Linked DNA regions of Sus scrofa. The protein of the gene in region 1 binds, or shares a complex with, the protein of each later gene. Links are inferred from orthologs where the notes say so. Each region holds a gene or a part of one and is shown on either strand. Other genes may lie near its edges. The genes, in order: CWC15, CRNKL1, RBM48, SNRNP40, GPKOW, BCAS2 and CWC22.

Region 1 (4,365 bases):
TCCACTTGCAGTAAGAGCCGGCCAAAAAAAAGAAGGAAAAAAATTGGTTTTTAATGCAGATTTTTATGCAAGAGAGTGACACTACCTGACTCACTATTTTAAAAGATCACTCTCACTGCTAGATGCAAAACTGACTATAAGACAAAGGAGACAGTTACACTCCAGGCGGAAAATGATGGTGGCTTGGACTAGGGTAGTAGCAGTGGGAATGAAATTTAGGGTATATTTTGAAAGTAGAATTGGTAAGACTTGCAAATAAGTTGGATGAGACAAGTGAAGGAAAAGGAATCTAAGAGGAAACCCTGGGATTTGGGTTCAAGTAACTAGTATGATGGTAGGTAGTGTCCTTTACTGAGATGTCTAAGACTGGGGGAGTAATACCTTCCTAGAAAAATCAAGACTTGCATCTTGAAATTTACAGGGAAGGGAGTTTTTCTACCCTTTTGTTTTGTTCATTTTAGAGTTCAAAGAAAGAATTCTGAGGGGGGGAAAAAGCTTTTTTATGTTCAATTTTAATGAGCTCTTTACATTTGAAACTAAGCTAAGGGAGTTGGATTTTCATTTGTTTAAGTATCTATTGAGCCAAAGACTATGTGATTAGATATCACGATAACCACGTTAAACTGACCAAACAAGATCCCTGCTCCCACAGTGCTTTTGGAGGTGTAAGAAGGACAATTGGTGATTTTTTTCCCTTTCCTGTTCGTTGCCTTATTAAAACTTCACCTAACGCATGAGTAGCCATCTTATAATTGCATCTAGGGCTCCTGGCAGTTGGGCCCACCGTTCTAAACGTTCAATGTCGGTTAATGAATGAATCTCTAATAGTGACATCTCCCCTCCCGCTAGAACTTAGGCTTTAAAAAAAATTACAATTTTAACAGTCAATACGAATACAACCTTTGCTTTGAAGACTAACATTTTTTGCAGGAATGGTACCTTTATAAAGATCGTGGTTGCCCCCGTACATATTTGTTCTTTCTTCATATCCAATTAAAAGAAAATACTAGTCTTTCCGTAGCCCAACTCTCTAGGCTTGCTGGGTCTAGCTCAAAGATTAAGCAAGCAGGAGCCGTTGGATTTAAACCGTTTGGTATAATCCTTTTCTACGCTCTCTCTCCTTCTCTCTCGGTAGCCGGGGACGTGGTGTCGGCTACCCGGGGCTTTCCGTCCACGCAGTACCGGAATGAAGGCGTCTGGGAGGGGGTCGGGAAAGGAAAAGACGGGAGAGACATTAAGTAATTGGTTCTCGAAGGTATAAAATGATGTTTAGGGTCTACTCAAAGCACCGATTTCAAACGCCCGCCCCCTGGGCTGTTTAAGCCCCGCCTCTTGCTGTCGTCACGCCGACTTCTCCCTTGGCCTCTGCCGATTGGTCCCTGCCTCCGCCCCTGAAGAGGTTAGGGTTTGCTTCCGGGTCTTGGGCTTTGGCCCTGGGCGCAGGGGTTTCTGGGAGCCGAGAATCTAAGTGGTTTCTGAATGATCTCCGGAGGCTGGTGCGTTCGGACCTCGGCCAACGTGAGCTGCTGGGGGAAAGCAGACTGGGGGGGGGGGGGGGGAGGACAGTTGGGGGCGGACGCGGAGAACCGACTGCAGGCAGAGGAGTTTTCCGGAGCGGCAGCGGGTTGCGGAGCCCAGCGCCTGTTGGACTGGGGACGGCCAGTCCCGGGCCGGCCGCGGAGAGCGTAGCGTGAAGGTAGCTCTACAGGCTGCGTTAAGCGGGTCTGGGCGCCCCCAGCCCCTCGCCAAATCTGGCACGGGTGAAGAATCGCCGGGCTTTCCGATGACAACCCGAAGGTGAACTCCCCAGAACCCAGAGTGTAAATAACGATGGTGTGTGGGAGGCGGCGGCGCCCCCAGCGGCCCGGAACCCAGTTTCACCCCCACTGGATATATTCCTCTCCCTTTTTTGAAAATCTAGAGAAGTATGCCAGCTGCCCCAGACACTTGCTTTTCCGACGCTTGAGGGAGGTTTTAGTAGCCACATCGGCTGTGCAGTGTTTTTTAGTTGCTTAAAAGCAGAAGTAACATAAGGAAGGAGTCCCTGATTTGTAGTTACCAGAGTCCCGTGGGGGTGGGTTCCTGTGTTTTGAGCATCCCTTAAATTGTAACTTGCAAAAGTTATGATTTATATTATATTGGCTGCTGTAGGATAAAATTGAAACAACAAAAGATTGTTGGGGAGCTTTGCCAATGTAACTGTCGTCGAAGTTGAGCACACTTCTTCAGGACCTTCAGTATCTGTCAATGATTTGTTTTTTTAGATATCTTCTCTGTTTTTGTAGCTGCTAGCCTCTTTTCTGCAGTGTGAGGTTTAGATAAAATGGGAACCTTAAGGAGTCTGGTGGAGTAAGGTTGAGTTGAGATTTTTTTAAAAACTGAGACACGGCAGTACTGTATTTTTGCAAGGGCTTTGACATGTCAAGTCTCTTAATTTCATGATAATCCCATGAGGAATAGTCCCCATTTTACAGATGACGGAAACTTAAGCTAGTTGGCTTGTCCAAGGCCACAGAGCCAGAAGGAGAACAGGAACACAGTCTCAGATCTTCATGACAGAACTTTTTGTACTAAATATCTGCATATTCCCGCTACACCCTGAGCTTCACTGTTTGTTTTCATGAGAACTTTTGAGATCATTTTAAATAAGTTTTGGGGAATAAGTTAGGGAAATTTTTTCCCAAGGATGGATATTGATTAATACTTTATAAAATGATAGTTTGTTATGTTGAAAGTAACTTGGCACTTTTTCTTCAAAGCATAAAAAATGACGACGGCAGCTAGGCCAACTTTTGAACCTGCAAGAGGTGGGAGAGGAAAAGGAGAAGGTGATTTGAGCCAACTCTCCAAGCAATATTCAAGTAGAGACCTACCCTCTCATACGAAGATAAAATATAGGTAATGAAGCCTTTTATTTTTTTTTTTGTTTCACAAAGGAAGACCAAATCTGTTAAATGGTATGGTCATAAGATAATAGTGTTTACGTTATTATCACTTAGTAATCTATTTTCATAGGAGTAGAATGCATTAGTGTTTATAACACTAAAATCATGCGCTATGATTGTAAAATGCTACAAGATATTCCTTAAGCAGAAATTGCAATTAACTGGGAATTTCCATAAGTAGATGGAGCAATAGCTGATACATTATCTCAGAGGGACGTGCACTATCAGCACTAATCAATATGAGATTAAGAGTATTATTGTAACAGAGCCCTGAGTTGACATAGTTACAAAAAGTAAGGACATTTTAATCAACCTGCACCCTTATTATGGGAAAGTATGTGATTTAGCTTGAGGTTCTTGAAATATCAGAGACATCACAGGAGCCTCTTAGTAACCCTCAGATTAGGATAGTGATCTTGTCCAGTTTCCCTAATGGGACTTTATGTTTCAGGAACTCAGGACAAAGTTGCTTTTCACAAGCTGTCTTCTATGACTACAGCCGTGTGTTTTTAAGAAGTATTTTTGCCCTGGTTTGTTTCTGCTTTAGACAGACCACTCAGGATGCCCCCGAAGAGGTTCGGAACCGCGACTTCAGGAGAGAGTTGGAAGAGAGAGAGAGAGCTGCTGCAAGAGAAAAAAATAGAGATAGGCCGACCCGAGGTACCAACACTCCCTAGACCCCTAGACTACCCTACACCCTGGACACGTCTCTCATGACATTGTGTTGACAGTAATTTTTCTTTCACGTGGTAATTAGAATGGATTACTGTTTTTGTTTGCTTGCTTTTAAATATTGGTGTGAACTTTAAGTTTCTTAAAAGACTGGATCAGATTAGGTTAGGATAGATTAGATTGGATTAGATTAGATTAGATTAGAGATGGTAATGAATTTGATTCCAGTTCCATCTTTTTATGTTTCTATATGGAAAGAACTAGGTGATCTGGGAATATTTAGCAACCATTGTTTCAGTTCGGATTAAGGTATTTTCACAGCCAGACTTTTTGAGGCCCCATTGTTTCTGTCTATGAAATTCTCCATGGAGTTAACTATTGTGGCTCGGCTGGTTCAAAACCCAGTGTCATGAGGATGCTGGTTCATCCCTAGCCTTGCTGAGTAGGTTAAGGATCCTGTGTAGGTCGCAGATGTGGCTCAGATCCCCTGTGTGGCTCAGATTCCCATTGCTGTGGCTGTGGTGTAGGCCAGCAGCTGTAGTTCCAATTCGATCGCTGGCCCTGGAACTTGCATATGCCAGAGGCATGGCCCTAAAAAAGGAAAAGAAAAGAAAAATTCTCCCATTTTTATTTCTAGCAAATGCAAACTATTTTCTGAATTTCCTGAGCAAGGCTACAGTTCCCATATTAAAATCAATACTTCTATTAATTTATTCAACACATATTTGCCAAGGGCTTATTTGCCAGG
Region 2 (3,791 bases), on another chromosome or scaffold:
TCTACCAACAGTAGTTGTTTATAGGATATAAGATCACAACCTTTGTGAGATATGGTATTTATACATTTCCCCCAGGACCAGTGATTGGGTATTCACTAGCTGTCAGAGTGACTTCAAAGAATATAACTACTGCAAAAAACAAGGCTCAACTTAATTATGCAATTTTCAGATCTTCATTGTGACTACTCATTTTGATGTCATTAGTTCAATGAAAGCATTTATAGTGCTTGCTATGTGCCATGTGTTATTCTAAGCACTTTTTTTAAAATGATTTTTATTTTTTCCATTATAGTTGGTTTACAGTGTTCTGTCAATTTTCTAAGCACTTTATGGGTATTGTCATTTAATCCCCATGACAGCTCTGCAATGCAGGAACCGCTTCATGCTGCACATGAGGAAACCGAGGCACGAGAGGTTCAGCAGACTGACCAGGGTCTTTTGTGTAGTGATGGAGCTGGGGTTTGAATCCAGTAGCAGCTTCAGCGCCTGTGCTCTTTATATTGTTGCCCTCTAAATGTATTACTGCTTTGGAAGTTAATGGTTTCTTCAAGAGAAGTAGATTAACAATAGATACATCCTGTTTGGAAGTAAAATGGTAATCCGAACTCTCTCTGTTGGCTCTGGTCAGCAGTTTTCTTTTTGTGCCATTTTTTTTTCCTTAGTCGTTAATTCAAATATGAATGTTACTGAGCCGATACTACAACAGGTGCCATTTATTTGTTTATTCATTTTGTCTTTTGAGGGCCATACCTGTGGCATATGTAGGTTCCCACGCTAGGGGTCAAATCAGAGCTGTAGCTGCCAGCCTACACCACAGCCACAGCAATGGCAACATGGGATCCAAGCCACATCTGCCACCTACACCACAGCTCATGGCACCGAAGGATCCTTAACCCACTGAGCGGTGCCAGGGATCGAACCCACGTCCTCATGGATCCTAGTTAGGTTTGTTAACCACTGAGCCACAATGGGAACTCCAGGTGCCATTTATTGAGCACATTCTTTTGGGCTAGAATTACTAAGAGCTTTACACACATTTTCCTCATTTAAAGCTTGCAGTCATTGAATGACATTGGTTGCTATTATTTTCCTTTATTTACAGATGATAAAACCAGTGTTTAGATAAATAACGTCTTTTCCAGATCGCATGGCTAGTCAGGGGGTTCAGCTTTTTCATGGCCCCAGACTCCTGTTTGTAGCAGCACTGGAATGCTGAGTAAGCCCTGGAGGAGGCCAGCTGAACAAGGCATGGCCTCTCGGGTGATTACAAGTTAGGGGGTCTTCATCTCTGTACATGTTTTATCACACACACACCCACCTCCCCCAGCTGGAGTGTGGATTGTTGGGGTTTGAATTTGGGGTTTTGTTTTTTAAGCCACATTCTGCCCATATTTCTTTAATTCTGCCCACTTGTTCTCGTGCACCCCGATGTGAAGAACTGGATCAAGTACGCCCGTTTTGAAGAAAAACATGGTTATTTTGCCCACGCACGGAAAGTGTATGAGAGAGCTGTCGAATTCTTTGGGGATGAACACATGGATGAACACCTTTATGTTGCCTTTGCCAAGTTTGAAGAAAATCAGAAAGAAGTAAGTAAACGTAAAGGAACTTGATTCTGTTGCAGAGCAGCCTAGAAAAGGTTATTGCTTGTGCACACTGAGTTCATTTCCGTTTTCTTATTCACTTATCCTTGGAGAAAGTGCTTTTAAAATACACAAACATGATTTCTCAAGGAAAAGAGCATATATCTGTGACTAAGCTGCAGATTGGGAGCGAGTGATTATAGATTGTATTTTAATTGGCTTAACTTTACTGTGCTCTACTTGAACATTAAGCCTGTCCATCTAGAAAGAATATTATCAATAAGCTGAGAGTCTGTTGGTATCCTGATTAAAGGGCTTTACAGGTAATGAACCTGGGAAATAAAAGCCCAGAGCCCTCAGTACGGAGAACAGAATTTGAAATTAAAACAGATTGCCTCACAAAGAAGTCAGTTATTTTCTCCCATAGTGTAAATGGAAAATAATCCTGTAAAGTGGCTCAAATAATACAAGATTGGTGGGTGGGCGGTGTTGGTTGGGGTCTGAATGCAGGGTTTTGCTTGGGTTACAGTAGTGAATTCTGATTCTCTTCCTAGGGCTAGTGGCAAGTGTTGCAGGTTTTAAGCAGGAGAGTGGAAGGATATAGTTTGTGCTATGAGGAGAGCCTGTGGCTAATTCATCGAGATTGTATTGGGAGGAGGGTGGTGAAAGTGGGAGGCTTTTGAAACAGTCCAGGGAGAAATGGAGGTGGGTCAGCAGAGCCCTGGGAAGAAGTGAGGGGCTGTGTTGAGGAGGTGGAAAGGGCTGGGCTGTGGAAGTGGTGAGTGTGGAGAGTGAGGGAAAGAGGCATTAGGAAGGACTCCTAACTGAGCAGGTATACGATGGTGGGTTTTGCTCAGCAGGGCAGGGAGTCTGAGAAAGGCCGGGGCCTGGTGGGGAGAAACAGGCTCACCTTAGCCTGAGGTGCATGGATGACATCCAGCTGGCAGCATTGGGGGACTTTTGTCTTGTTAGTACTGCACCTGCAACATATGGAAGTTCTCAGGCTAATGGTGGAATCGGAGCTGTAGCTGCCAGCCTACACCACAGCCACGCCAGATCTGAGCTGTGTCTGTGACCTACACCACAGCTCATGGCAACGTCAGATCCTTAATCCATTGAGCAGGGCCAGCTATCAAACCGAGTCCTCATGGATACTAGTCAGGTTCGTTAACCACTGAGCCACGATGGGAACTCCAGTGTTTTGAACATTTTGAGGCCTTACAGTCTTATACCTAAGTCTTATGTCCTAATTACTTTCCAAGTTGTGACAAGAATGGAAATACTGTGTTCTAGAAGATAATCCTTCCCATCTCTTCTTAGTTTGAGAGGGTACGAGTCATCTACAAGTACGCCCTGGATCGAATTTCAAAGCAAGAGGCCCAGGAACTCTTTAAAAATTACACCATCTTTGAGAAGAAGTTTGGTGACAGGCGGGGCATTGAAGACATCATCGTGAGCAAACGGAGATTCCAGTATGAGGAGGAAGTGAAGGTGAGTGCTGGTGTAGCTGCTTCACTCTGCGGTGACGAGCACATGCTGGCCAGTCCTGACTGCAGTGACATGGGTCAGGGCAAGTCAGGGCCACAGTGATCGCTCTCTCGACCATGTATCTGCAGAAAATTGGCAGCGACTCCAAATAGGAATAAACAGACTGATAGAAAGGCAAGCAAACAGGACCTGGATTTGCTCTGCCTCTCGCATGGTGGAGGGCACTTTGTTAATTGCTGATGGTATGCATAGAACTTGAGCAAGAGAAACCTGGAATCCATCTGAGCACATTTTTGAACAAAGAATCAAATCGATCCTAAAAAACCCTTTTATATACATTATCCTTAACTTAAGTGCTGGAACAAAAGACTTTGTAGGTATGGGACATTCTCATCTCTGTCTGGAATGTGTTAGTTTGATTTGAATTCAGAGGTAGTCAGGTTTTCCTGTGCTCTTCTGCTGTGTATTTAAAAAAACTTCGACTTGGTCAAATGTATTAAGATATCTCCAAACAAAGGACTAAGTCAGGTGTTAAATGAGGTCAGCAAGATATGTTCAAAACATGTCACTGTTAATTGAAAAGGCAGGTTTTGCCATTGCAACCATGGTATAATTGCTTTTTCATTTTAAATCTAGACATAATGCATAGTCACATTTACACTTATGAAAAGAGAAATCCGTTTTTACAGATAGAGATTTTAGAAGGTTTACGCAATCAGT
Region 3 (4,574 bases), about 45 Mb from region 1:
TGGGACCAGGTGATAATAACTAACTCATCTCCAGCCAGAAGGAAGCTTATCAGGGCCAAGAGACTGCCTACTTTATAGTAAAAGAAATAATGGCAGGATCTGTTGAAATTAATGTGCTATGAAAGATAGGGGAAAATACTCTAGAAAAGGAGTTACAGAGAAGTAGCTAAAATGGAAAAGGGAGATATTTGAAATTATTGCAAACTGTTGAAATTACTGCAAACCAGTGGGTACTATGCATTCAGGATTTTCGAAGATTTCAAACAGCCTATCCTTTTAGCCCCTTAAGCAAGCACGCTCAAACTCGTAAACCAGGTGTCTCCACTTTACAATTAGGAAAATACAGATGTTGCATCTCTGTAACCATGCAAGTGTTAGAGCTATGAACCGCCACAACCACAAGGTGCAGAGCGCAAGTGAAAACAGAGGTTCAAGGAATTCTAACTACCTATGACCAAGTATGCATACTCCCACAGCACATTCCTGGAGCACCCCGGAGGTGTTTGGAGACACAGGAAGAAGGTTCATATTAATCTATCCCGCTCGTGGGACACAGGGCTCCACCTCTGTTAACCAATAGAGACTTCACAAACCAAGTCCGCCCCTCTTTCTGAAGGCCGGGACCACAGCCATGCAAGCACCTGGAAATCGCTGGCAGGAAAAACGTTTTCTAATAATGAAACAAAACAGAACAGAATCCCAAAAGACAAACAAACCCGACTTCTCAAGAGCTTTTCCAACCTGGAGTGAGGAATAGTTGAACGAAGAGGGAGAATATCGGGGCGTTTCAAAGCCCAGTTCCGGCGAGTAAAAGACCTGGAATACAGCAGGTCAACTCAAAGAAGCCGTGCTGCACTAGACGTGATGTGGCTGTCAAGAGCGCCCAGGCCAGCCCTGCCCGCAAGGGGTCCTCAGTGTGGCCTCTGAACCGGTCGGCGGGGCTGGGAAAGCAGCCCTAATCCCGCCGCCGGGAGAGGCCTGAGCGGCCGCTGCGTCCCTAAAAGGCCTGGGTCTCGGCCGACCGCAGACTGGCCAGCAGCTGTCCCAAGTCGGTGGTGAGAGCCCGGCACCAAGCGGGCGCCTTACCTGCAGCAGGTGTAGCTGGGCCACAAGGCGCCGCGGCAAGTGGAGGAAGCAGTCGCGAGCGTTGGTGAAGGCCACCGTCACGGCCGCCCCGCCTCCGCCAGCACCCGCCAGGCGATCGCCGCCCCACATTGTCTGCAGGCACCGACCCCCAGCCGCCCAACCTATCTTTCCCGGGCCAACCCCGCAGGTCGCGGGCGTCGGACCCGGAGACGATCGATCGGCCCCGCCCCCTAAGGCCCCGCGGCGCATCCGGAGCGGGAGGGGCCAGCACGCCTGCGCCTGTTCTCAGGGCCTTTCCGCCGCGCCGCTGGGGGGCGACACGTTCTTCACCAAATCCTCGCTCACAGGAAACGATGGCCGACGGTGTCGATTCTTCAGCCAATCTCGGAACGCCTTAACTCACCCCTCTCTCTTATTGGGTAAACGGTGGGGCAACGGGGCGGATGTTGTCGTTCGCGAGGGATAACACCGGCAAGATGGCGTTGAGCGGCGGGCAGCTAGGAGGCTTATTCGATCACCACGTCCAAAGGGCTGTATGCGACTCGCGGGCCAAGTATCGAGAGGGGCGCCGCCCTCGCGCTGTCAGGGTAAAGTGACTTTGGTTTCAATCGCTATCCCCGGTAGCTTTCTGTGAGTTCCAGCTTCACATGCCCAGCTTACGTAAATAACATCTTGAGAGGCTGCGGTCACATCGATTAACTGAAGAAGAATATGAAAAACGCTGGTACTCAAGTACCAAAGATGCTTGAGTGCTCTTTAGTCTACTGCTAGAACCTCAGCTCCGTGAGAAGAGGGCTGTGTTTCAGTCACTGTATCTTCCGTGTTTACAGTGGTCCTTGTTACATGGTAAACGCTCAGCGAATACTTGTTAACTCGTCCCTGTAACTTCTACCGAGCTAATTTGTGGAAAACACATTGATGGAAGATAATGTTACGTGCTTTAGCTAAAGGCCTTTGCAAGAAGGGTAAACTATTCATTATGTAGAGAGAGGGGCAAGTTTTTAGATTTCCTGTTTTTATGCAAACCAGTCGAAAGGTGTTTTTTTCAACTTTAAAAAAATATAGGATTAGATTTGTCCCAGGCTTCTTTGTGAAATACATTTAATGTGTCTGATTTCTTATAGGTTTACACGATCAATTTGGAATCTCGGTACTTATTAATACAAGGAGTTCCTGCAGTCGGAGCCATGAAGGAATTAGTTGAGCGATTTGCTTTGTATGGTGCAATTGAACAGTATAATGCTCTAGATGAATACCCAGCAGAAGACTTTACAGAAGTTTATCTTATTAAATTTCTCAATTTACAAAGTGCAAGGTAATATGCAAGTTAAACAGTGTCTCATTTTCTCCATTCCCGTTGCCTACATTTGGCCTCCCTCATTCATTTCTGAATTACCCAGTAACTAACATGACCCTGTATTCTTCTAGTCTTTTTAAATGTTAGCCCTACCAAACTCTTTCTATCACGTCATTCCCATGCTTAACAATTTTTTTGTGTGTGTAGTATGGTAGATTAAAAATTGGTTTGGGAGTAAATTTTCAAGTTTCACTGTTTACTAACATCATGACCATGGACAGGTTACTTGACCCCATTAAGACTGTTTTCTTATTCTTTAGACACCAGTATGGTAAAAGGACCTACTTACGGAGGTTGTGTGAGGATGACATGGATCCATGTATAGGGCTTAGCACAGTGCCTTCTATTCAGAAGGCAGTAAACATTAGGTATTGGATCTCTTATTTTATGGACCTGTGTAATTGAATCTCCTTCTATATAACATAAAATTTTCTCCAACAATTAAGTACGAAATGCCCTATCTCTTTTTTCCCTCATTTTAAAAAATGAAAGTGTTGATTTACAACCTTTCAGGTGTACAGCAAAGTGTTTCAGTTATACACACACACACACATATACCTATTTGTGTGTGTATACACACACACATTCCTTTTCAAATTATTTTCCTTTATAAGTTATTGCAGGATATTGAATAGAGTTCCCTGTGCTAACCAGTAGGTCCTTGTTGTTTATCTGTTTTACATATAGTAGTGTGTAGCTGTTAATCCCAAATCCCCAATTTAACCCTCTTCTTCCTTTCTACTTGGGGCCTTGGCTCTTTTTATGTTGACTCCTATTCTTATTGATAGGCTCCAAGACCCATCTTCTCTTGGCTGTTAGAATTCATATTTTCTTTTCTGTGCTACAGATAGCCCTTGTAGTCTTTCTGCCATAAATCACTTGGGTTAATGTCATCGTGTGTTGTTCTCAGGTTGCCGTTATATATAATCTCACTACCCTAACCAATTTGTCAGCTCCTCATGGTTAGGGATATTTTCTCATTGTGTATTTTAAGGAGTTTTGCATCTCTCACTCCACCTGGTACAGTAGGTCATGCAGTGTGACATCTGGATTTGAATCTTAGCTCCAAAAGCTAATGTGAGAATGGCCAAGTTATAAATCTCTCTAGGCTTCAGTTTCATCAGAGGGTTGTTGTGTTAATTCAAGAGAAGCACTTAAGCACTTTGGTCACTGCCTGGGATGTGGTAAAATCTCAGTAAGTATTTATCATTTTCCCTGGGCACTGAAGTGCTTATTTATTGTAGTAATTCCTGGCCAGTCACAGATGTTTAAAAATTATTTGTTGAATGAATACCATTCTCATTGATTGTTATATATTCAATATTTCCTCCATTATTGAATGTTACAATTTCAATATTTTATTAATTTCTTAAATATGAATCCCATTATAGGAACACATTGTGCCAAAAAGGCTAAAATAAGTATGAGCTAACGCTCAAGAGCCATTTAACATAGAGAAAAATCTCTATTTCATAACCACAGATTGTGTACCTCAGGCCAACCAGCTGGATCCAGTATTGGTTAAAGGGAGTCTGGATAGGTATGGATGACTTGAAACCTATTAAGACTAGGGAGAGGGAAAGAAAGGCTCTAAGAGTAGGCACTGGATCAGTAGAGTCATGCTGTCCACAAGCAGAAATTCTTATTCCCTAAGTATAAGATGTATATACACTTGGCAAAACCTGGACTTTGCTTTTTATTTATTTTTTTGCTTTTTAGGGCCACACTGCGGCACATAGAAGTTCCTAGGCTAGGGGTTGAATCGGAGCTACAGTTGCTGGCACAGCAAGGCGGGATCTGCGATATACACCACAGCTGTGTCTGCGATATACACCACAGCTCACAGTGCCAGATCTCCAACCCATTGAGCAAGGCCAGGGATCAAATCTAATCTAAGATACTAATCTGATACTAGTCGGATTCATTTCCGCTGTCCCACAATGGGAGTTCCTGGACTTTGCTTTTTAGGTCAGTGCATTGTGTACTAGTCAAGCTTTCTTCCTAAGTAAATCTAGATCAGGAAACCATAATATTTTGTATTTCTGTTTAGGATAGCCAAGAGAAAAATGGATGAACAGAGTTTCTTTGGTGGATTGCTTCATGTGTGCTATGCTCCAGAATTTGAGACAGT
Region 4 (4,311 bases), on another chromosome or scaffold:
CTATTCAAACTACTGAGCCAGAAGGACCAAGCTGCCTCCTCCATCACACCACCTTCTCCACTGCAAAATACAAAATAAAACCTCAGTGATTTCCCATCAGTCTTAAAGAAAAGCTACAAATTCCTACACAGTCTGGCTTCCACTTGCCTCCAGCTTCATCTTGTACCACACTCCCCTTTATTCTCTTTGTCCTGGCAACACTGGCCTCTTTGTACCTTTTAGTCATTTTCCTCTCATTTGCCATTGGGCCTCTGCACATGCTGTTCTATATGGAATATTCTGCCCTCCTCTCTTCCCCCAACTAATTAGAATTCTTCCTTCAGGCATAGGTTCAGGCATCTTTTTGTTAGACAAGTCTTCCGGCTTATTTCTGGCACTCAAAACACCAGGTACCTTTCCCTGGCAGCACTTACTTTGCATTCCCTATAAAGATCATTGTTGAGCATCTGTTTTTCCCATCGGACTCAAAGCCCTGAGGTCAGGGACCATGTTTGGTTCACAATGTCTCCTCAAAGCTTTGCACCATAAATATCAGTTGAACGATTAAGGAGAAAACCTACTTCACAAGTATGAGTCTGAATTTCTCAGCCAAGACTGTGCTCTGGAGACCAAGAGTCGGACATTTCCTTCATCTCTCTCTCTCTCTCCCTCTCTCTCTCTCAGGGGCACAGAGCAGGCGCTGGTAAAAGGCTGCAGTATCACGGCAGAAAGAAGTCGGCCTCCAAAGTCTGAGACGACCCTGGTGGAGGCTGGGAAACTGACCTTTTCTCCCAAGGAGCACCTGGCACAGGGCTCGACACAGAAGGCGCTTGTTAAAGAAAGCAGCCGTCGAGGGCCCCAGGCAGGCGCAGAGACCCCACTGCTCTGCTCCAACCTAGAAAGGGAACCCAGGCCACCATACACCAAGAGCTAGGAACTCAGGGGCCCCCTCTGCCCTCTGCGATCAACCCTGGGCTGAGAGAGGCCAGCTTCAGACCACACAACGGAGGCGCCGCCTCCAGATTCCGCAGCCACCCACCCCCAACACTTACTCGGAGTTAGCGTCAGGTCTCCCCGCCGCAGCATTGCGCGAAACGCCAGAACCCAGTCAGCGCGCTTCCACCCACAAGACCCAGCGCGCCGAGGCGGGACTCCAGCTCGTTCCACCAATCCTGGAATCGTACTCTAGTGACATCAGAATGAGTTGCCCAATAACTGGAGACTCCCCAGGGGGCGGTGCAGAGGGGAGTATTGGAAGCCGATTGGTTTCTCCAAGCCGGAAGTTCTAAGGGAAAGACTAAGTCGGAGCCAATCGTGCGCTCCCTGAGGGTGTCGGCGCGGTCAGTGGCGGCCTGAGGAGAGCGGTTGCCGCCATGATAGAACAGCAGAAGCGCAAGGGCCCAGAGTTGCCTCTGGTCCCAGTCAAGCGGCAGCGGCATGAATTGCTTTTGGGAGCGGCGGGGTCGGGCCCGGGAGCCGGGCAGCAGCAGGCGGCGCCGGGAGCTTTGCTGCAAGCGGTGAGTAAACGAGCAGATGGCCTTCGGCCCTCAGCTCATCTTCCTGTCTCCTCAGTGCTCCACCGTGAGATCCCGTACCGGCCCTTTCCCTGCACTGCGGGGGCGGAACGGGACTCACACCAGGGAGTTAGAGCAGAAAAACCTGTTAAAGCGGTCAACACCCTGCGATGCTACGTTTCCCCGTTTGACGTTTCAGCGTCTCGATGGCCCTGTGAGGGGGCGTTAGAATTAGTGAGGGATCTTAAAACTGGGCCCCGGGCTTTCGCATCCTAAATCTTCCAGGGATCCAGCATAGAATAAACGTTCAGGAAAGTTGAAAGAGTGGATGGATGAATGAAGGAAGAAAGAAAGGAAGGAAATGAACGATACTAGCTCGCTTTGGGACTTGGGGCAACTTGCTTTGGGGAAAACTCTTTCTCTGCACTAGTATTAACAACTGAAGAATAGGTAACACTTATTGAGCCATGTACTAAGTGTTTTGTATATGAAAACTCCATTAATCTTGGTCACTGCCTAAGAGGTAGGAATTGTTAATTGTCCCATTTTGTAGATGGGGAAACAAACTTCTCTAATAAGTGATAGAAACCGATTTTAAAATCAGAATCCAGGCTTTTAACTAGAGTTCTTATAAGATAGAGGTAGTGATGGATGACATCTCTCCTTCTGCTCTATTAGGCTTAGCTGAAGAATATATGTCCCCTCCTGAAACTCCTCAATCAGGCTGTCAGCAAATCTTTGCTGGCACCATCCTTAAAATAAACCCAGATTTGTTACCACTTCTAAATATCTCCATCACTACCTCCTGATCTAAGCTGTTATTCTCTCACCTAGTATTCCTGCTGTAGGATCCTGATGGCATTCCTGTTTCTTTTCTCAGATGCTCATTCTATTCTCAGTCCAGCAGCCGGAGGAATCCTTCTAAACATCAAATCATGTTAACCTCTGCTGAAAACATGCCATGGCTTTTCGCTTCACTCAGAGTAAAACTAAAATCCTAACAACCTTTTGCCCTCTTTCCCTTGACCTCTCTGATCTACCAATTTTCCATTGCTCACCTTACTCCAGTCACATTGGCTTCTATGCTCCTACCACACACAAAGCCTTTGCATTTTCTTTTCCCACTACTGGAGTGTTCTTTTTCCAAATGTCCACCTGGTTTACACACTCAGCTCCTCCAAGTCTCTGCTCAAATATCGCTTTTTCCATGAAGGTTTTCCTGACCAACCTGTTTTAAATTGCATACCTGGGTACTCACTAACACATTGCTGTTTGGTTTTCTCCATGGTACGTACCACCACCATCTATACCTTATACTTGTTTCTGCCATCCCTCCCTCCTTTCTGTCCCTCCCTCCTGCTAGAATACAACCTACATTGTTTATTTTGTTCAACACTGTTTTCTCAATGTCTAGAACAGTGCCTGACACATAGTATTTTTTGAGTAAATGAATAAGCTGGAAACTACTGATGAGATTTAGGAATTATTAATAGTGTATTTGTTCTTTTGGTTTTTTTTCTTTAGGACAGCACCCATGGCATATGGAAGTTCCCAGGCTAGGGGTCAAACCAGAGCTACAGCTGTTGGCCTACGCCACAGCCACAGCAACTCAGGATCTGAGCTGTGTCTGCGACCTACACCACAGCTCACGGCAACGCCGGATCCTTAACCCACTGAGCTAGGCCACAGATTGAACCCATATCCTCATGGTTCCTAGTCAGGCTTGTTAACCACTGAGCCATGAAGAGAATGCCAGTGTATTTGTTCTTCCATCTGACAAGTAAGAATATCAGCTCAAGTTTCTGTGAATTGCCCAAGCCTAGGCTTAGTGGCTAAAACCGTAAACAAGACTACTTTCCTTAGTAACCTTGTACCCTGCAAGGTTGTTGGGAAGCTCAATTCAATCATTCATTCATTAAATGAACTAGAAACTGGGAAGACTGTTGAATGACTCTATAGGGTTCCTGTGGTCACAGAGCTTTTCTAGTGGCACAGTAGGGGAGACACTGTAAACAAGTAATGAGGAAGGTAATTTCAGGTAGTTAGAGAAGTGCTGTGAGAGGTGTTGCCGTTGTGGTGCAGCAGAAACGAATTCGACTAGGAATCATGAGGTTGCGGGTTTGATCCCTGGCCTCACTCAGTGGGTTAAGGATCTGGCGTTGCTGTGGTTCTGGCATAGGCCGGCAGCTGTAGCTCCCATTAGACCTCTAGCCTGGGAACCTCCGTATGCTATGGGTGCAGCCCTAAAAAGCAAAAAAAGAAAAATGAAGTGCTGTGAGAGAATCCCTAAGGTTGATAGCATGTAGAAGGGAGGTGGAAGAGTGCTGCTTGAGTTTGAGTGTTCCAGGAAGGACTTTCTGAAGCAGAAATGTTTGAGAGGAGTCACACACAGGAAGATCTAGGGGAAGGGGTTTCTGTCTTGTTCCTGCGGGTTCAGCTACAAGTATAAGAGATCCTGAGGCAGAAATGAGTTTAACATGTTTGAGCAATCAAAAGTAGGAGCGCAGTGAGGGAGGAGGAGAGTTAGCATAACAAACAGACCCTGGAAACTTCAGAAGAAGAGAATCTAATTAGAGACGTAAGTTATGTGAGAAGAGTTGCCATTATCTAAATCAGGAAAAATATACTCAATCATTGTTTCCATTGTCTTTTCCTTGTACTCCCCATTACCCCCATTTTTCAGTCCCCCTAGCCTATATATAGTGACTACCCTGTACCCTCTCTTCTTTTATTTAGGGGCCTCCAAGATGTTCCTCCCTTCAAGCCCCAATCATGCTTCTCTCAGGACATGAAGGGGAAGTGTATTGCTGCAAGTTTC
Region 5 (3,791 bases), on another chromosome or scaffold:
GCCCTGTTTCCCACCCCTACCCTCGACCACTGCCCAAGTCCCACCCTATCAGCATGTTCAAGAACATCCTTCCTGGAGTTCCTGTCTTGGCTCAGCAGAAACGAAATCCGACGAGCATCCATGAGGACACAGGTTCGATCCCTGGCCTCGCTCAGTTGGGTTAAGGATCCCGCATTTCTGTGAGCTGTGGTGTAGGTCGCAGATGTGGTTCGGATCCTAGCTGGCCAGCAGCTATAACTCCGATTCGACCCCAAGACTGGGAACCTCCATATGCCACAGGCGCAGCCCTAGAAAGATTTAAAAAGAAAAGAACATCCTTCCTAATCTCACATTAGGACTATTCCTGACCTACAGAAATGGCAATTTCATTTGGTTCAACCTAAAAACATGCTATTACAAAGTAGCTACAGAGGAATCTGTGGCAGATCCCAATAACCAAATACAGTAATGTTTCTACAGGGAAAATCACATGGTTATTCACACCAAGCAGGAGTAGAGCATAAAATGCTCAACTGTCAATCCAGGTCACCTTTGGCTGCCAAATGTTCTATGAAAAAAAAAAAGTTTGTTTTTCAGAACTCTTTGGGGTTTACAACTGCTGAGAAGGGGTCCTAAGTCCATGTGATAATGATAATAGCAAATGTTTAGTCGATGCTTATCTGGGCCCAGGGCCTACCCTAACTGCTTTACATATATAATTTCACTTAACTCTAACAACAGACCCAGGCACTCCAGTCCTGTTATTATCCCCATTTTTCAGATGAGAAAGCTGATGCCCAGAGAGGCAATCTTTCTTTCTTTATTAATTTTAATTTTTTTTTTAAAGGACACACCTGCGGCATATGGAAGTTCCCAGGCTAGGGGTCAAATCAGAGCTACAGCTGCCGGCCTACACCACAGCCACAGCAACACAGGATCCGAGCTGCGTCTGTGACCTACACCACAGCTCACGGCAATGCTGAAGCCTTAACCCACTGAGCAAGGCCAGGGATCAAATCTGCATCCTCACGGCTACTAGTCAGGTTCATTACTGCTGAGCTACAGCAGGAACTCCCCAGAGAGGCAATCTTTAGATAATGGCATCTTATTATGGGGGGGGGGGTTCCTTTTCTTTCCCTTTTTGGCCAGCCCATGGCATATAGGGCACCTGGGCCAGGGATCAGATCCCAGCTGCAGTCTCGACCCACACCACAGCTGCAGCAATAGTGGGTCTCCCACCCACTGTGCCTGGCTGGAGATTGAATCCATGTCCCAGCGCTCCCAAGAAGCCACTGATCCCATTGCACCATAGTGGGAATTCCTCATTGAGGAGTTCTGAAGGGCAAATAGGAGGTTGAAACAGTAGTGGAAGGGGGCTGCTGAAATACTTAGGTTGGTCATGTACCCTCTCCCTGCCTGGATGGTTCTGGGTGGGCGGTAACCATGGGGGTCTGTTCCTGTCTGTTGTCCCCCTGCCCCTACCCTAGAACTCACTGATTGAAGGTGCGGCCAATGCCCTCGCCGGGTTTCCAGCCCATGCCCCGCAGCATGGCCAGCCCATAGGCCTCCACAGGGACTGCCTCGTAATCAGCCTCCTCCGGCACCTATGGGTTTAGGCAGAGGAAGGACAGTCAGGATTGGCTTACAGTGGGCCCTCTGAAGTGTACTTGCTATCACTCACTGGGTGACCCTCGAGGCATCTTTTCCAGTTAGCTCAAAGGTTGACTTCTGATTTCTTCTTGCCATCCCTCATTTTACTTCTCCCTGTTCAGTCCCTGGGAAAATAGTTATAAAGCCCCTATTCTGCGCCAGCTACTGTTCTAGGTGCCAAGGATAACACGGTGAAAAAAAAGATGAAACGCCTTCCCTTGTATGGCTTATGTTCTAGTGGAGACACAATAAATGAAATATATAAAACATGCTAAGTCACATGAAAAAAATTTAGCACATTAAGGGGATGCAGAGGGATAGAGATGGGAGTGTCACTGAGTTGATATTTGAGCTGAAACCAGAAGGAGATGACAGAGGGAGCCCGGAGCATACGATGTGATCACTCCAGAAAGAGCAGTAAGAGCAAAGGCCCTGAGGCAGGTCAAGATCTGCTATGTGTGAAGAGGATCAGGAAAAGTCAATCTGACTGAAACAGATGTGGAGGCAGAGAGGGGTAGTAAGAGATTCATCAGGAGAGCTGGGTGGGAGCCCCAGTAGGGTGGCAGCCACAAGGGGACCAGTGAGGAAGCGACTGCAACAGTCTGGATGAGCAGGTGGCTCAGACCAAAGTGGTGGTAGGGGTGATGGTGAGAAGGGGTCAGGTTCTTGATGTATTTTGAAAAGGGAGATGGCAGGGTTTTGCCAATAAGATTGTATATGAGGTACGGAAATAATGCAGGAAGTCAAGGGTGACTCTAACGGTTTTGGACGAAGTGAGAGGAGGGACGGACGAAACTGTGATCAGTTGAGATGTGGAAGGCTCTAAGAAGGGAAAATTAGAGAAAGGAGGCCAAAGCTGGAACAGCTTTGAGAATGAAGGTCTTCTTTTTTTTTTTTTTTTAATGAAAGGAACCAGAGGATGTCTGAGGCTGATGAGCACAGTTCAATCGAAAGAGAAGGTGCTCTGGGGCTGTAGGAGAGCTAGGACCCAAAGAAGCATGGCAGAAAAATGATGAATGAAGAGGTGACGAGTAGGGTCCATGGGAAGAAAGACAGACTTGGCAACTTCTGTGGACATACTGCTCACCTCTCCTGCTGTTACCTGCCATCACCATTCCCTTGAGTCTTGATATGCCCTCCAGACACATCACACGTTGTCCCTGATGGACACGCATGGTGGATTGCCTGCCACCAGGCTACTGTCCGGGTCATTGCTGCCATTAAGAGCACTCACCGTGCTCTTCCCTCTCTCTCTAAACCCTACCTTGTCCTTCCTGGCCTCACTCCTACCACTCTGGCCTGAGTCTCCGTCACCTCTAGCCTGGACTGCTGGTCTCCTTGCCCCCACCTCCGCTAACTAGGCTGCTCTATTCACAGCAGCGAGAGAGACGGTCAAACCGCAAGCCTTGTCCCTTCTCTGCTCCAGAGCCCTCCCATGGCTTGCATCCCACTCAAGAGTTAAAGCGGAAGTCCTCCCCATGGCCCACTTCTGACCTCCTCTGCTACCCTACCCCCCTCACTCATTCCACTCCAGCTCCTTTGGTCTCCTTGGCGTCCCTCAAACACTTCAGGCGGAGTCCACCCTCAGCATCTTTACATTTCCTGTTCCCTCTGCTCCTCATCTCCTTTAGATATAATCCCAGGATCCAAGTCCTTTTTCAAACCTGAGTATCTGGATTCATCTGTTAATGCTTCCAAAAAGGATGGAAGGAGGAAGGGAGAGGCAGGCCTCTTGTACACACACACAGACTTTTCCTGCTGGGGGCAGGGAGGCGAGCCTGGCAGACAGGGCAATGAGAGACTGGGGAAGGAGGGAGTCGAGGGGCCAGCTCACTGTCTCAGCCCGGGGTTCGCTGTCTGCCCCTTGCCCAGGATGCGCTGGGGTGCATCCTTTCTGGATCATGGGGATAGCGAGCGTGGGGTCGACACCCGCATTCTCTCTCTCCTCCAGGGACTTCTTGGATTCTGAGGAAGAATGGGAGGGAGCAATGAGGTCCCACCCTATCCTTCCATTTCCCTCCCCTTCTTCCTTCAGGAGGAGAAGGCAAAGGCGGAATCGCTCACCCTCGATGATCTCCTTCACAGCCTGGGACAGCATCCCATCCGCCAAGACCTCAGGAAGTGTGGATGGCCCAGGGGCCTGGGTGGTTGGCTGCCTGCGG
Region 6 (4,351 bases), on another chromosome or scaffold:
AGTATTGTCTTTACAACCCATTCAGGTTTGCTTGAATGGATCTGAAGCAGACACCATTTAAGACGGGTGCTGTATAATACAACTTCTATATATGTGGGTCCAGAAAATAAAACTGAGCCTATGTCTTTTAAAAAAAAAAAAAAACATGTTAAGCAGCTTACCCCAGTGGGGATCTTACCAGACATCTCCCCATTTGGTCACTTCTGAGGGAACTCCAATCCTGAGGGAACAGTTAGTAATTGGGAATTGAGTGTTTATAAAATGGGGATAGAAGGTGTAACTGGTGGATCCTGGCCATCCCTCTGTGAGGAGACTTTTGCTTTGCTACAGGGATGGGGGTCTTATTTTATCCCTGCAATCTGAAGCTGCTTCCTTTTCTTAAGTCTTTTATTTTGCTTTTGTAAAGTATTACAAATTCTGGACATGTTTGTAAAGTAATTGCTCAAGATTTGTATAAAATGTTGTTTACAGATCTTTTAATAAACAAAAAATTCCGTGGATCTCTTGGGAGAATCTTAAATGGCTTAAGTTGTAGATTTTTTACTTCAGTTAAATCTATATAGCTAGCACACTTAATTAATGGTAGGTTAAAAGATAATCCTAGGTTCAAGCTTAATAACCGTGGCCGACATTTCCAGGCTCTTGGCAAAGTCTGGGTCGATATTTGCACACCGGACACGGTATAGAGTCCTACCTACCTTATTTAGTCTTCCCCTGCTTAATCAAAGGGAGCTGGAAATAGGTACTGGCAGTATCACGAGTGTTAGGATGCAATGAGAAAGATTGTCCTGTTACCAGAAGCCCTAAAAGCAAAATGATTGGATTTTATACACGTCCTGAAGGCAAAAATCAGTTTTTTAAAAGATGAGGTTAGTGGGCAGTTACCAATCTCGCCCCGGGGGAAGATCAGGTTCCTTTTGTTAGGCACACTCCAGACTCCAAAGCTTCGCAGTTTTCACTGGAGTCTAACGCCCACTTCTAGAGTCTGCGAGAGCTGCACTTATTCCACTTATTCGGTGCAAAGATTCTCAAGGGACGGAGAACAATAGTGCAGATAGAGCAAGGAAGTGAAAAGGGAGAGTAGTTTAACCGAAGACTGGAAGGTTAGGGGAATAAAGCCGAGGTGGGAAACCAGGATCCTTCTCTTCGCTAAATCTTGCAGCGAGTTCCCTCAAAAGTTTTATTAAAGGGTTTCCCCTCCCTCAAAAGTTTTATTAAAGGGTTTCCCCTCCCAGATATCAGCGAGCCGGAGGAAACCAAAAGTCCCAACTCTTCCACTTGGCTGCCAATCGGAGGCAAAAAAGCGCAGCAGGTGGGGACAGGAAATTGAGACGTTCCTGCAGACTCCGGAGCCACACAACATGACGTCACGTCCGACCAAAACAAGAAGGCTGGACAATTTCTAGTTAGCACGCCCTCGGAATTAACTGAGCATGCGCCAAAAGCTATTACGCAAGCGACGTGCTTAGGACAGTGTCGGCGCTGACGATAGACGTGATTACATGTTCGACGTGATTACGTAGGTGTCGGACGTCGGCAACGTGATTATGTTAATATCGGGTGCAGGCCTATTTAAGCGAGCCTGAGCCCGCGCAGACTCAGAGAAGTCAGGCGAGCCCAAGAATGGCGGGCACCGGTTTGGTGGCTGGAGAGGTTGTTGTAGACGCGCTGCCGTATTTTGACCAGGGTTATGAAGCGCCTGGTGTGCGGGAAGCGGTAAGTTCCGGGTGTCTGTGTGACTGACTCAGCGCTCGCGGACACTTCGGGCTGGAAGACTGACCTAACGATGTGCTCCTCTTATTTTGGCCTCTGTTCTCTTTCTTAGGCCGCGGCGTTGGTAGAGGAGGAAACTCGCAGGTACCGACCTACCAAGAACTACTTGAGCTACCTGACAGCCCCAGATTATTCCGCTTTTGAAGTGAGTGTGATATTTTGAGTCCACGTTATAAACCAGGATCCTGTGAATCTTTGTTTTGGATTGAGAGCCTTAGCCACACAAAAGTGAATTTCAGATTCCAGCTTTAACTGTTACTTGCCTAGCCACAGCTTACTCATTGGTATAGGTAGTGTCAGTCAATTGAAAATAGCTGCATGGATAAACTGTCTCCCGGGTTCTTATTCTTAGAGCCACAGAAGGACTTTCTAGGGCTTCGCGAACTGATCTAACAATGCAAAAACGAATGTTAACGTTTTTCCGAGGTAGGTTCACTGCGTAAATTCTCAAAGGGATCCTTTTCTCTTTAAGGTCTACTGCAAAACAAGTGATCTAGGGTTTTTTAAATACACAAAAGCCTAGTTACCTAAGCTTCTGAGAACCACTGGAGGGCGGTCTTTGAACCAAAGTTTAAGTATTTTCTGAATCTGTGAGAATGACTGAAGAGACAAACCGTATCTAAGTAATGCACCCTTTAAATATTTAGAAGTGCATCTGTAATACTATTTAGGGTCTAATCAGCTAAATGAAATGTAAAATATTTCTAAATTAATGGATTCTGTTAGGCATTTTAGTATATACATGTTCCGTTTTTCCCCATATCTGGTAACCATTTATTTACAAAAGAAATCTCTTATAAAAAGCAGTATTTCTATTGAAGTAACATGAAAAAAATATATCGGTTAAGTTTTAAGTAGGAGAGAGATGTTCCTATGGCATCCTGTTTTCCCATGCTTTTTCTAAATGTCACCCAAATGTAGATGTTACAGTATTAAGAACTATGCACAGGAGTTCTTGTCCTGGCTCACGTGGTTAACGAACCTGACTAGTATCCATGAGGGCTTGGGTTCGATCCCTGGCCATGCTCTGTGGGTTAAGGATCCAGTGTTGCCGTAAGCTGTGATGTAGGTCACAGAGGCCACTGGGTCTGCGTTGCTGTGGCATAGGCTGGCAGCTACAGCTCTGATTCAACCCCTAGCCTGGGAACTTCAGCATGCCAAGGCTGTGGCCCTAAAATGACAAAAAAACAAAACAAAAAAAAAACTAGGTACAGTAATAATAAGTCCTTATTAGCCTGATTTCTGAAAATTTCAGATAACTTCATTCAATCACAAACTTTTAAACACTTGAACAGGTTTTCTTTTTTGGTCTCTTGAGTAGAACCTATACTTCTATCTTTATAATTAGTATAGTGATTCTTAATAGTAGGAGCTAATAGTGTACTGAGCTCACTATCTCAGTCCTAAAAGCAGTCCTGTGAATTGTAAACTGTATGTTTTTTATACCAGTTTTTTGGATAGGAAAAGTGCAGCTTACTAACTTCCCCATGATCTTCAAACTGCCTTTGAAGCTGCTCTTTCATTAATTCATTTAACAACTATTTCTGACATTCTTTTTAAGTTATTGGGGAACAGGAGTTTACATTCTAGAGTGTAGAGACGGATCAGAAATTATTAGATTATTGGTAAAGCTACATGGAGAATTAAAGTAATGATGTGATACAGAGTGACTGGGTGACTACTTTAGATAGGATGGTTGAGGAAGGCCTATGTAATCTGAGATGATACTCCATGAGCAGGGATCCTTTTTGTCTTCTTCACTGTATTTTCATCCCTTAGGACAGTGTCTGGCACACAATAGGCACCCAAATATTTGTCAGTTGAATGTATGAAGAGCTCCTAAGGCATTCTGATTTAACGAATGCTTACCATGTGCCATTCATGCCTGGACTTCTTATATGACAGCCCTGTGAGTGTTGGCTCAGTCTTTGGAGAGAGTTGAGTTAAAATTCCAGATCTCTCACTTATTGGCCATGTGAGTTAGGTAAGGGCTTCTATGTTACGTGGCTCAAGGTTGTGTGTGCTGTATTTTTGTAGTTTCTCTCACCTCATTAGTAGTGTTTACTCTTTATCTGTCACTGTGCATAGCCTTCTAGCTAGAATGCCTTAGTGTCTGCAGGAAACAAAATAACCACATTTTCTTAGAGGTGTGTGCAGCTCAGCAGTATTCCAAAAAAAAAAAAAAAAAAAAAAAAAAAAAGGCTTTCTCCAACAAGACATACTTAATGCAGAACTTTTAAACAAGGAATGTGGGCTTCTGGAAGTCCTTTTTAGCTTACTCTTTAGTCTAAACGGAATAGAATGTTGACCAAAACATTGGCCTGAAGAGGTAGAGCTATACCACATTTTTTTTTTAATAGTAAAATTGTTGGAGCAAACAGCAGAACCAGTTCCTTTTGTCCCTTCTTCTAGTCTCCATTCTTTTTTTTCTTTTTAGGTCCTGCACCCACAGCATATGGAAGTTCCCAGGCTAGGGGTCGAATCAGAGCTACAGCTGCCGGCCTACACCACAGCCACAGCAATGCGAGATCCAAGCTACATCTGCGACCTACACCACAGCTTACGGCAACACTGGATC
Region 7 (4,319 bases), on another chromosome or scaffold:
TCACAGGGGCCCATATGTCCCCAGGCCAAGGCATCCACATCATCTTTTTTAGTACCTGTTCATTGGGGAAGATTTATGAGCTTAGCTACAAATAGCAAAGGCCTGCTTTAATCCACCACCACTTCTCCTGATGTATTATTTTAGAAAAATGCTTTGAAAGTTTGCACTTTGTTGTACGCCTTGAAATGTCTCTTCCAATGTCCACGTGAGAAATATATATACAGAGATAATATTTAGGCTGCAGGCTTTTTAAGTATGGAAGTTCACAGAAAATATTATGGTAGTGGCCTTTTTGTTCCATTACCTCCCATGCTAGAATTCTCAGATTTAAATAGAAAAGGAGAGAAATGCAACAAGGAAGCCCTCAAAGTCATTACCATTAGTGAGAACAGCTATATTACCAATAGCCACTTCTTTTTTAAACTAGTTCTGGGCCAGCCATGACTTATATCAAGTTAGGGATACACCAGGTAGTACAAGATTCAGTCCAAATACAAGGGGACAATAAACAGAAAATAATGTTCAAGTTACATAATGTATCACTGTGTACTCTCTTAGGTAGTTTCAGCTACAACGAGCCACTGTACAACTCTTGGCAATGTACAGTCACCAGGGAGGAGACTTAACCTCTAACAATTCAGTAGCTGGGAAAATGGACAAAGCTAAGAAAACTGGTTTATGAAAAACAAGTAAGAAATCCAGGAAGTGTAAGAAATCCAGAATTCCTATTCTATTTTCTTATTATTCACTCCAGAAGTGATTGGAACTAAACTATCCAAAGTAGGGAAGGATGTGTCAGTGGAATAACAAGGAAATACAGGCTAGCCATGGATCAAGTACTTTGCAGCAAGAAAGGCAGCAAACCTGATTCTGGGTGAGGGTGAACCACTGCAAATACCCAGGAGATGGGCTAGAACAGTGGCTCTCAAACTAACTGGCATGAAAATCACATGAAAGCTTTGGTTAAAAAAAAAAAAGAGTGAAAGGCCCCTCATTCCCCAGTTTCTGATTCAACAGGATTGGCATGAAGCCCAGTAATTTAATTTCTAACAAGTTCCATGTAGATATTGGTGCAACTGATTCTACTGATTCAGGAGATTATATTTTGGAAACTTGGGTCAGGTAGGGCATTAGATTAAGGTTCTTGGCCTCTGAAGTCTCAGTGCCTCATATGCATTATTTCTCTTCATCCTCAAAACAACCTCCATTTTTCAGCTGTGTTATCTGAGACTAGAGATGTGAGGTAGTCTGCCCCTAGAGACAGACCTAAAATGTACTGAACCAAGAATGGTACCTTTGGTTTACTAGTCCATCACTCAGTACCAATTCAATTTGGTCTCCTTCTCCTACAGAAAGTGATGTAAAAACGCTTCTTGTTATCAAGATGACACTTTTTTTTGGTGCAGCATATGGAAGTTCCCAGGCTAAGTGTTGAATGGGAGCTGCAGCTGCCTACCCATACCACAGCCACAGCAACACCAGATCCAAGCCGCATCTGCAACCTAGCTGCAGCTTGCCCCAACGCCAGATCCTTATTTAACCCACTGAGTGAATCCAGGAATCGAACACTATGTGGAGTTCTTAACCCACCGAACCACAACAGGAACTCCCAAGATCACACTTTTAATGGCAATTCTAAATCCACCTTTCCATAGTAGGATGTTAACTGAGGTTAACTCCTAAACTCAATGGCAATCCTAAAACAAATTTAAATACAGACAAGGAAGAGGCAGGTTAACTGGTTTTCTGAAACCCAAGTTTATCTGTCTGTCTGTTCTTTCTAGTCTGTGGAAACCTGAAAATGTTAAGGGAACTCTTTCAAGACTTTCAACCATCTCATTCTTGCATCTGGAATAGGCTTTCCCCATTTTTTTCCTTCTTCGTTTATCTCAAATAATTATTCTCAGGATAAAGCGAAAATAGGTTAAAGTGGTTACTGCAGCTGGACTCAGTAAAATTAACTATCATATTATATTACCAGTACATGCAAATGTATCGTAGATTCAGAACTCAATAGAGAGGTAGACAGACACTGGGGACCCAAGTTCGGGAGTTAGCACCTTATTGGAAGTAGTTCAAGTTATGGAAAGGTAAAGAATGACAGAAAGAACACATATAATAAGGAAAAAAACAGTCTCCAGGACTAAACACTAAGAAGCATAACTATTTACGAGGCAAATGAATGAAAAAGAAATGACTACCGAAATTTTACAGAAGCATCCACAAAGATAGTACGCCTAATAAAGGAGAGTGTAACTTCCACTATTTTTAAATTAACTATCGTACATTAATCCCCCACCCGTGGGGAGGCACTAAGAAAGGGACCTTGGGAAGCTCAAACAATTTGAGAGGTTCTAATTGATTCAAAACTGATCCGCATCCAAAACACATCGCATAGGAAGGGAGCGCTGGTTCTGGATTCTGCAATAAAGACAGTGGGGAGAGACAGCCCAGGAGCCTCACGATAGCTACTCCGTCCGCGCAGGCGAGGAGTGGATTCACCACCGCCCGCTGCACCCCACCTACTGGGACTCCTCGGCCCGACAGACACTCACAACCCAATCTCACGGGCCAGCGCGCGGCGGGAGACCCAAGCGCACCCTGGAGCCGCCCACGGCTGTCCCAGCGAGCGTGCACCCAGTCCTGGGCCCTCCTTTACTTCCCGCCGGGTCCCACAACCCGCCACCCGCACTCCGGTTCGCTGCCTACAGCGGGTCTGCGGAATTCGGTAATTACCTGGAGCTCCACCGCGCCGCCATTACACCGGATACACGTCACTTCCCTTTCCCGGGCCGGCGGTAGGCGGAAGGCGGAACATGGAATATATAAAAACCTAAATTGACCTTGCAACGTTATTCTATTACCTTATTTTAAATACCATCTTAAAATGCCACATTGTGAGCAGTCGGTAGGGTCCCACTTTTCCCTTCCCAAAACGGCGACAGAAGAGAAGTTGATATAAACTACAAAGTCCAGAACCCACACGCAAACAGGACGGAAATGACGTTTGCAATTGTAGGCTGAGAAGGCCGCAGTGTATGGTGGGAATTGTAGTTCTCCGTAAGCGGCAGAAAATGCGTCTTGCCGGCCCGCCGGAAACCTGGTTGTGAGAAAGACTTTTAAAAATTTACTTTACTTTAATCTAAAATTATTTCTCTGAAGTCGGCAAAAAAAAAAAAAAAAAAAAGTAGACCTTAATGTATTCATTTTTCTGAGAAAATCTAAGAGCAGACACCTTTCTCGGATTTCCTAGTTACAAGAACTATGTAAGTGAAAATGTTACCAGATGTTAATTAAGTGCCTACTAAGTTCCAAAATTTAAGCCCAAGTGAATGAGAGAATATTGGACTGTAAACAGAGTGACGTAATGAGGAGAAACTAATTCTTTAGAGAAGATGATGTTTCTCTTTTAGGTTAAGGTACAAGCTCGTGAGATATCATAAGGAGACAGCCTCGCTGACTTGGAAATAGTCTGGACAGAGATGAGAGGTAATCAAAGTATTTTCTTAAACTAAACTTTTTTTTTTTTTTTTTTTTTGTCTTTTTGCCTTTTTCTAGGGCCGTACCTGCGGCATTTGGACGTTCCCAGGCTAGGGGGTCTAATCAGAGCTACAGCTGCCGGCCTACACCACAGCCACAGCAAGGCGGCATCGTAGCCGCATCTGCGACCTACACCACAGCTCAGGGCAACGCTGGATCCTTAACCCACTGAGCGAGGCCAGGGATGGAACCCTCCACCTCATGTTCCTAGTCGGATTCGTTAACCACTGAGCTGTGTCAGGAACTCCAAACTAAACTTTTTAATAATAACAAAACCTAAAAGTTAAAACTGCTTGTTACTGTTTTGGAAACTGCCTTTCCTAAAATTTCTGTATATTTATGTTCCTCAACCTTGTATAAACCAGGTCTGGTTTCTCCAAACACTGATCTATTACAATTTGAAGGTGCTAGTATTACCAACCCTTTCCTAGAGGCAGAGTAAAATGATTATGGATAAAGATACTAGAGCAGAACAACTTATGTTAGAATCATGAATCTGTTGAAATAGATGGTTGACCTTTAACAGGTTGCTTCACACTGTGTGCCCATTTCCTGATCTGTTAGGAATGATAACAGTAGCCACCCCACAGAATAGTTTTAAGAATTGAATTTGGTGATACACTTGCTGTGTTTGTGATGATTCCTGGTACATGATAGTATTATCTATCCTTTTTCATGGTTAAGATATTTGGCCATAGTTTAAGGTGCATTTTGGTGTCTTAAAATATTTAAATGTATAGTTTTCAGTTGTACTAATACAGGGCATAGGAGATGAATCT

Evidence for each region.
Region 2: CWC15 (region 1) and CRNKL1 share a complex: the UniProt entries of both Homo sapiens proteins name them as parts of the minor spliceosome. The link is inferred for Sus scrofa from reciprocal best matches to the Homo sapiens genes CWC15 and CRNKL1.
Region 3: CWC15 (region 1) and RBM48 share a complex: the UniProt entries of both Homo sapiens proteins name them as parts of the minor spliceosome. The link is inferred for Sus scrofa from reciprocal best matches to the Homo sapiens genes CWC15 and RBM48.
Region 4: CWC15 (region 1) and SNRNP40 share a complex: the UniProt entries of both Homo sapiens proteins name them as parts of the minor spliceosome. The link is inferred for Sus scrofa from reciprocal best matches to the Homo sapiens genes CWC15 and SNRNP40.
Region 5: CWC15 (region 1) and GPKOW share a complex: the UniProt entries of both Homo sapiens proteins name them as parts of the minor spliceosome. The link is inferred for Sus scrofa from reciprocal best matches to the Homo sapiens genes CWC15 and GPKOW.
Region 6: CWC15 (region 1) and BCAS2 share a complex: the UniProt entries of both Homo sapiens proteins name them as parts of the PRP19-CDC5L splicing complex. The link is inferred for Sus scrofa from reciprocal best matches to the Homo sapiens genes CWC15 and BCAS2.
Region 7: CWC15 (region 1) and CWC22 share a complex: the UniProt entries of both Homo sapiens proteins name them as parts of the minor spliceosome. The link is inferred for Sus scrofa from reciprocal best matches to the Homo sapiens genes CWC15 and CWC22.

What each region holds. Positions count from the first base shown.
Region 1 is NC_010451.4:27,044,290-27,048,654, reverse strand, and holds the start of CWC15 (spliceosome-associated protein CWC15 homolog), read left to right. Parts: upstream 1-1,374; 5' UTR 1,375-1,518; intron 1,519-1,549; exon of another isoform or gene 1,550-1,797; intron 1,798-2,759; 5' UTR 2,760-2,767; coding exon 2,768-2,898; intron 2,899-3,492; coding exon 3,493-3,605; intron 3,606-4,365. UniProt on the Homo sapiens protein: Involved in pre-mRNA splicing as component of the spliceosome. Component of the PRP19-CDC5L complex that forms an integral part of the spliceosome and is required for activating pre-mRNA splicing.
Region 2 is NC_010459.5:28,101,644-28,105,434, reverse strand, and holds part of CRNKL1 (crooked neck-like protein 1), read left to right. Parts: intron 1-1,410; coding exon 1,411-1,589; intron 1,590-2,903; coding exon 2,904-3,074; intron 3,075-3,791. UniProt on the Homo sapiens protein: Involved in pre-mRNA splicing process. As a component of the minor spliceosome, involved in the splicing of U12-type introns in pre-mRNAs.
Region 3 is NC_010451.4:72,443,282-72,447,855, forward strand, and holds the start of RBM48 (RNA-binding protein 48), read left to right. Parts: upstream 1-1,529; coding exon 1,530-1,673; intron 1,674-2,210; coding exon 2,211-2,401; intron 2,402-4,493; coding exon 4,494-4,574. Other genes in the region: PEX1 (peroxisome biogenesis factor 1), read right to left, coding at 1,087-1,335. UniProt on the Homo sapiens protein: As a component of the minor spliceosome, involved in the splicing of U12-type introns in pre-mRNAs.
Region 4 is NC_010448.4:87,876,582-87,880,892, reverse strand, and holds the start of SNRNP40 (U5 small nuclear ribonucleoprotein 40 kDa protein), read left to right. Parts: upstream 1-1,269; 5' UTR 1,270-1,352; coding exon 1,353-1,496; intron 1,497-4,229; coding exon 4,230-4,311. UniProt on the Homo sapiens protein: Required for pre-mRNA splicing as component of the activated spliceosome. Component of the U5 small nuclear ribonucleoprotein (snRNP) complex and the U4/U6-U5 tri-snRNP complex, building blocks of the spliceosome.
Region 5 is NC_010461.5:43,181,571-43,185,361, forward strand, and holds part of GPKOW (G patch domain and KOW motifs-containing protein), read right to left. Parts: coding exon 3,694-3,791; intron 3,595-3,693; coding exon 3,464-3,594; intron 1,584-3,463; coding exon 1,474-1,583; intron 1-1,473. UniProt on the Homo sapiens protein: RNA-binding protein involved in pre-mRNA splicing. As a component of the minor spliceosome, involved in the splicing of U12-type introns in pre-mRNAs.
Region 6 is NC_010446.5:105,991,028-105,995,378, forward strand, and holds the start of BCAS2 (pre-mRNA-splicing factor SPF27), read left to right. Parts: upstream 1-1,530; 5' UTR 1,531-1,623; coding exon 1,624-1,716; intron 1,717-1,825; coding exon 1,826-1,918; intron 1,919-4,351. UniProt on the Homo sapiens protein: Required for pre-mRNA splicing as component of the activated spliceosome. Component of the PRP19-CDC5L complex that forms an integral part of the spliceosome and is required for activating pre-mRNA splicing.
Region 7 is NC_010457.5:85,602,853-85,607,171, forward strand, and holds the start of CWC22 (pre-mRNA-splicing factor CWC22 homolog), read right to left. Parts: upstream 2,986-4,319; 5' UTR 2,737-2,985; intron 1-2,736. UniProt on the Homo sapiens protein: Required for pre-mRNA splicing as component of the spliceosome. As a component of the minor spliceosome, involved in the splicing of U12-type introns in pre-mRNAs. Promotes exon-junction complex (EJC) assembly.